Linked DNA regions of Macaca mulatta. The protein of the gene in region 2 interacts with the protein of the main gene of each other region in a pairwise test. Links are inferred from orthologs where the notes say so. Each region holds a gene or a part of one and is shown on either strand. Other genes may lie near its edges.

What was found.
Region 1: the proteins of TASOR2 (region 2) and ERH interact in binary tests that used the Homo sapiens proteins (3 or more experiments, as listed by UniProt). The two-hybrid records come from large-scale screens. The link is inferred for Macaca mulatta from reciprocal best matches to the Homo sapiens genes TASOR2 and ERH.

The regions. Positions count from the first base shown.
Region 1 is NC_133412.1:142,569,480-142,573,305, forward strand, and holds part of ERH (enhancer of rudimentary homolog), read right to left. Parts: intron 2,621-3,826; coding exon 2,500-2,620; intron 1-2,499. UniProt on the Homo sapiens protein: May have a role in the cell cycle.
Region 2 is NC_133414.1:7,299,847-7,303,672, reverse strand, and holds part of TASOR2 (protein TASOR 2), read right to left. Parts: coding exon 3,248-3,826; intron 1,648-3,247; coding exon 1,218-1,647; intron 1-1,217.

The DNA.
Region 1 (3,826 bases), on a different chromosome or scaffold from region 2:
AGACGGAGTCTCGCTCTGTCGCCCAGGCTGGAGTGCAGTGGCCGGATCTCAGCTCACTGCAAGCTCCGCCTCCCGGGTTCACTCCATTCTCCTGCCTCAGCCTCCCGAGTAGCTGGGACTACAGGCGCCCGCCACCTCGCCCGGCTAGTTTTTTGTAGTTTTAGTAGAGACGGGGTTTCACTGTGTTCACCAGGATGGTCTCGATCTCCTGACCTCGTGATCCACCCGTCTCGGCCTCCCAAAGTGCTGGGATTACAGGCTTGAGCCACCGCACCCGGCGACGTGCATTTATATAATCAATATTTACTCAGCCCTAATTATGTACCAGAGATGCAGCAGTGAACACAAACAAAGCAACTTGTTCTTAAATTCTATAAATTAATATACACATTATTGGTAATTTCATATCCAGTGGATGATTCTGTCAACACCTAGGCCTCCCAATTCCATGAACTCTTTTCCTCTAATGATCTCATCTCCTACCATCTGTTGGCCAGATCCCTAGACCCTGTCATTACTAACAACTTCAATTTCCTAATTTCAAGCATGTCATTCTCTGACCACCACTTCCTAACACTCTAATGTGAGCAATCCTTGATCCAGTGGGACCTACAATTAACTTATCTACCTGTTTCCAGCACCTCCTCCTACATACCCAATTAAAGCTCATGGTCATTCAATCCTTGCTGTTATCCTCATATATGCCCTCAACCTTTAGCAACATCTTTACTCTCTACCTACTCCTCACCTGTAACCATCCAGGTGAAAGAGACTAGGATAAAATCCCATGATCACAATGACTGATTTCACTTTAAATCATTATCAGATAGGTACATTGGAGGACACTTAATACATCCCTGAATTAACTGCAGTTCCCTACTTCTTTCACCTTCCTAGCTTATTTCTTACTTTTCCACAAACCTGTAACACCTGTTTCAAATGGTGTCCTTGCTCCCTATCTTTCCGAGATAACTGAAGCATACAGAAGATAATTCCCCCCAGCTCCCAAATTTGCCTGTCCTCCCTTTTTCATGAATGAACTGTCCAAGAACCAATCTGAGCTATCGGGTTCTCCTTCTCTAGTAGATCATCCCATCAGCCTACAAACTTACCATTACTTTCTCCACCTTAAAAAAAGCAATTTCCTTCTCCAGCTACAACCCCATTTTTCTGTTCTTTCAAGCAAAATTCTTTGGGGGAAAAAAAAAAAAGCAAGCCTGTAATAGCCACCTATAAATCCTCTCTTTTCATTCCCTTCCATACACTGAAATCTGTAAGCATTTTTACTCCTGGCACTATACCACAACTGTTTTGGAAGCCATCAAATACTTCCACAGTGTGAAATCCAGAGGTCAATTAAATTCTCAGTCCTTACTTATCTGACCTATCGATGATACGATACACTTCTGCACTGGCTTCCAGGATATCATTGCTCCCTACCTTCCAATCTCCTAAGACTCTCTCCTTCACTCATTCCTCTGCAGCCTCAAAGTCTTCCTTAATGACTTCAAACATGCCAGGCACCCGTACTTCAGGACTTCTACACAAGCTGTCCACCATCCCCTCTGTCTGGTATGTTTTTCCTATGGATGTCTGGATGGCTTAAAGTACCATGCAACATTCATTTGAATGTTCTGAGTGACCAAAGTGAAATGGCTACAACTGGAACACAATGAAGAAGTACACAAAACAAAACTCAAACATTCCAAGGAAATGCATGTTTTGGAGCTTTTGGGGAGACAGCATGGTGCAGCCACATTCCAGGACTGGCTCCAGTGGTGATCCAGGAAGTGCCTATGAGTAAGACTTGTATATTTCTCATCACTGCTCTTTCAACTTCTAGCACAGCACTTGGCATGTAATAAGTATTCAAGTATCTGATGATTGAGTATTGTATCATAAGGTGCTAGTTAAATGAGCTGTATTTACCCTCAATTTCTGTTCATTAATGTAAAAAAGATTAGGTAAGTCTATAGTAATACTTTATGCTACTTGTTAGCAGTTGTCAGAAGCAGATTATCAATACAAACTATAACAAATATGTTAAAAAATCTCATTATTACATACCAAAAAATATATATTTACACAGGGTAAGATTGAAATTAAATTCAATTTCAGCCCTACACATATTTAAGTTTTTGAAATGTCATGAAAAAAAGATAATCTTAGTTTTAATCCCAAACCAATGGCTTTAGGACAAAGACTGTAAAGGAAAAAAAATATTAGGTATAAGGAACAAAGAACAGGGACATGGAACGTCTTAATTAGGATCCTTACTGGATACTAACTATATCAATTAGCAAAGTTCTTTTTTTCTGTGCCTTTGGCTTTATGTTGCCAATCTCTTATTTCTGTAAGAGAAATATTAATTACTATACCCTATGCAAATGCAAAGATCAGTGTCAGGCACATAGTTAGCTCCCAATATCATAAATCACCTCAAAGAGACAGAAAAACAATAGAAAATACAAGATAACAGACATGTTGGCCAATACTTACACCAGGCAGCTGAGGTCTGCCAGATCATCGATGAAATCAAACAACTGACTAATGTCATATGTGATAGAGGGACTGTTGGGATTCATTCTTTTCAGATGTTCTTCATACATTTTACAAACACCTAAGAAAGGATAGGAAAAAAAGCAAAATCTTAAAATCGTATACACTTCTAGATATGAGCAGTGATATATGTTGATATCATATTTACTTTAATAAAGTTGGGCTGGGGAAAAGATGATCGATTGATGGCTTTTGATTATTGCCACTAGCAAATACTTTTTTATTTTATAAATTCACCAGGTCAGGTGCAGCGGCCTCGCAGTTTAAGACCAGCCTGCCTGGGCAACACAGGGAGACCTCATCTCTACAAAAATTAAAAAATTAGCCAGGCCTGATGGCATGTGCCTGTGGTCCCAGCTACTTGGGAAACTGAGGTGGGAGAATCACTTGGCTGCAGTGAGCCATGATTGCATCACTGCACTCCAGTCTGGGCAGCCGAGAAATTCACCACAATGTTGGTGTAACTATTTTGTGTCTTAATAATAAAATGATTACTTCAAACCATTGGAGCTAAGGGACTTTCAAGACTTGCCATCTGATGGCTCAAACAAATATCACTGTGGGTCTTAACAGGTTTTTCAGTAATTCTTCCTAAAGCCACAGAGCAAAAAAATAAAAAATCCAAAAAAAAAAAATTAAAAATTAAAAATTGGCAACAAGGAAAGAGATTATCCTAACGTGTATTTAAGATCCTGGACTATGGATTCACACAGACTTGAGTTCCAGCTCTGCCCTTGTCAAACCGAGGACAAACAACTCCATTCCCTGAACCACATCTGTCAAACAGAGTTAAGAGTGCCTCTTCATAGAATTGTGAGTTTATTTGAAATAATACATATAAAGCATTAGCACATGAACAAGGATGTAAGTACTGAAATATAATAAAAAAGATAATAAGCAAAATCATTAATAGCAAGCCCACATCACTAATTATAATTAGCTACCGAATACATTATCTATTTAGTTTTTAATCAATGATACTCTCCTTTCTTTTCTTTTTTTTTTTGAGACAAGAGTTTTGCTCTTGTTGCCCAGGCTGGAGTGCAATGATGCGATCTTGGCTCACTGCAACCTCTGCCTCCTGGGTTCAAGCGATTCTCCTGCCTCAGTCCCTCAAGTAGCTGGGATTACAGGCACCTGCCACCACACCCAGCTAATTTTTTGTATTTTTAGTAGAGATGCAGTTTCACCATGTTGGCCAGGCTGGTCTTGAACTCCTGACCTCAGGTGATCAGCCCGCCTCAGCCTCCCAAGGGGCTGGGATTAC
Region 2 (3,826 bases):
ATTACCACAACAAATGGTATTTTATAAGAAACTAGCATGTATATACGTTTTAATCTAAACCTCCCTGATTAAACTATATTTTCTTATTCTAAGGTGGTGATTCTTAACTGGATTTTACGTAATTCTTTGAGAACAGGATGGAACTGCTGAACCCTATCTTTAGGGAAAAAAAGCACATACATAGTTAACGTTTAGGTTTTCTAGACTGGAATCTTGGCTTGACAATTTTCTATGTGACCTTAGGCAATTTCTTTACTTCTCTGTGCTTTAGTTTTGTCATCTGTGTAATGGGGAGATTAATAGTCTTTAACTTATTTGAGAATGAACTGAGTTCATGTGAGTGAAGGGCTGAGAACACTCACTATCCGGCACACAGTGACTCAGAAATCTTTAATTCTCATGATGATGACAATCACTTGAAGATATTCACCGGTTCTGTGAGGCTCACCCAAGGACCTCCAAGTCCCCAGTGACCCCGGGTACAGGAACACTGTCTACTCTTTGTTAAGACAGGAATCACAGATGCTGCCCTAACCCAAGCAATATTATTCTAGAATAAATTTGGGTTGAAAGCTTTAAAAGGTAGGTAATTTTATCAATTCATTTGCTTAGAATTTTGTTAACAACTTTGAGATTTGCTCCAGGTAAAATCTGGATTATCTGGCCTGGTTGAATGTCAGTTGAGAACAATGGAACAAAACGAAGTATATTTTCCATATTTACAAATAGTTATTTGCAATGGGTCTTCTCTCACAGGTCTGGCATTTTACTATTCCAGCATCTGTCTTCAAACATAATTTTAATACAAGTAATTTTAGTTTACTTTACGGTTTATCAAAGTATGTCTAATATTTATTATTGCTATATTTGATCCTTAAACAATATTCTACATAAGACATGACAGGCATTAGTCACCTCTTTTAAAAATTAAGGAAATAAGCAATTTGCCTCAAATTATGGTGGGCTCCCAGGTCATGTGAACCCTATGACACTTTTCTACTCTGTTTTTTTTCAATCAGGATGGCAGGTAAGCTCTACCTGCAGACAATTCGAGGACACTTCATGAAAACTAAGTTTTTGGTGTAATAGTTCTTTACATACCTTGAGAATTCACTGTCCTAAAATTTAAAAATGCCTTGTTTTGAATGTGATTTTACATATAAACTTTTTTTCTTCCAAAATAATGCCAACATTTAACAGTATTCAGCTTAACGTACCTCATTATTATAAGAACAGACGAAATCCTGGTTTTCTAGGGTGTCTGGATGACGCTTTCTTGCAAAAGTTTTTTTCTGTTCATTCTGTACACAGAGTTCCAAGCCTTGGGTAAGTGGTGTTTTAATGAAAGGAAGCAAGCAGTTAGGATCACGGAAGGACACTTCAGCAGCATGAGCCCTGGAAATTTCGTTAGTCTCCAAGAGAGGGTCTGCAGAACATCTTTCCAAACCAAGGCACTCCTCAATTTCACTGAGCTCACAAGATTCTAACGTGCTATTTATAGACACATATTTTGCTGGGTTGCTGTGTTCTACAACTTTTCGGGAAGATCGTATGACTTTGTTCTGATTGCTGTAAAACAGAGCTACCCACATATGAAGTAAAAGCTTCACTTCTTCCACATTATCAGGCAAATCAGTATTCCAGGGCCTAAGAGTTTACAGAAAGAACACATGAAAATCATTGAAAATGGTTATTTTAGTTGATTACCTACCTTATCATAAGCAAGTGCCTCCAACATTAACCTTAGTTTTTGTTATTTTTAAAATTTACAGATATGAAACATGAATGAGTAAATATGTAGTTGACTTAACAAATAATTATCAATCTAACCCACTCATTTTACAGAGACAGGAACTGAGAATCAGAACATGTAATTGCCTTCCTTCAAATCACAAAACCTGTATGGCAGAACCATGATCTGAACATGGGTAGCACGTGTCTTTTACGTCATACAAATTCACTCTGGACACAAAATACTTATTGTAGAAATAGTTTCACCAATACCCAAATCCTCATCACCATGCGTTTGCTAAGTCTGGCTGATTCATTTATTTTCCATTTTTGTGTCTCTCTTCTAATAGTTGAGAAAGTCTGAAGATAAAATCTCTCTCTGGGCAATTCAACAGAACTATACTATTTTCAGATTATAGTTCTGAAAAATATCCTGAAACTGTAAAGGGAGACAGAAAACATTTCTGGCCCTCTGGCAGGCAAAAGGATGGCAGATCGCCAGAGTATGATAAGTTAGGGGGGCTGCAGAGTTGGGAAACAGCTAAACAGGAAGTTCTAAGGAAATGACCTTTATGAGTATATATGAACATGTGTACGGAAGAAAGCCTGACAGCTGTAGAGTCCATATAGTCAGATGTAAAATAGTTCATTAATAGGGAGCTGAATGTCATTTCATGTAGCTAACGAGTGCTTCTTGCTAACAGTAATGGTTACCATTTATTATTACTACTGGCCAGTCACTGTGCAAAAATCCCAATATATGTAACCTCAGGATGCAGCTACATACTTAAGTGTTGGCGACAGACTGTCATCCACCATTGATGTCACCTGAAAATCTGTTAGAAATGCAGAATGTCAGGTCCGTCCCCGAGGAGAATGCATCAGAATCTGCACTTCAGTGAAATCTCTAGATGAGCAGCACACGCAATTAAGCAGCACTGTCCAGAAGCAAGACACTTGCCCAGGATCACAGGAGGTAAGAAAGGGAAAGAACCCGGGTTCAAACCTACACTCCAAAGATGTGGTGCTGGTCAACACTCTGTTATTATTGCCTTGATTCCTTCTTGAGGGAGATCTATAGAACAATCTTATGTGAAACTGCTTAGTCCTATCAGTCTGACCAATTTACCAAGCTACAAGTGATTTTTAAAATGTTTCCTCTGGAATTCAGTCTGTAAAGCATTATTTCTAAATCTCACACTATTTTACATTAAGATCTCATGTAAAAATTGAAATTCAAAAGCCACAAGGGCTTACGAAGGAGCACTGCAAATTGGAAAGCTATTCATCAGGCTAAAATTATCTTTAAAAAGTTCTCCACATGAGCACAGGGGGAAAACCAGCCTGTTACTCTTTATTGCCAGGAAACATGTTTGCTTGATGTTATTATCAAATTTCTGGTTTTACACACACTTCTTTCTCCTTCTCCAGAGTTTGGCACAAGTTTCCCCATCTCACTACATTCATCTCAACAGAAAAATTTCATCCATTTTCACCAAGCTTCACTCATACTCACCCATGTAATGCTCTTACTACAGTTTTCTCCAGTGGGTTGTTGGTATATTTGCTATCTAAGCTGAATGCATATTCTGTTTCACATTTGAAAGTGATCTTAACGGAGTCATCACAGCTAAACACTATACGAGAGCAAGAAGATTTTTTCACACGGGAAGACGCTTGTCGATCCTTGGGCTTCACCATGGGCTCGTCAGGAGGCTTTTGCTGAAGCAAAAGACCAGGCTGATGCCGAAATGGCATGACTTTCCCCACTGGGGTTACTGCTTCAGGGCTTTTTGTCCCATTCTTGGGAAACACAGGGCTTGGTATCTCTCTCTCCTGTAGATTTTTCTTTGAATGTTCTCTAAGGAGCAGGGCATAAGAATGTTCCACAGAAACAGAAGAGCTTTGACTTGCATCTGAAGATTCTAGCATTTCCTCAGTAAGTGCTGACTGGGCTTTAGCAGGGGCCTGACTACACGGAACCAAGCTTTCTTCATCTTGGCTAACAATTAAGTCTGACTCAGAATTACTCTTCCTATCAGAAGATGGGTTAGGAAGTAATTCACCTTTTTGACTTTTAACTCCTCTGTGATAT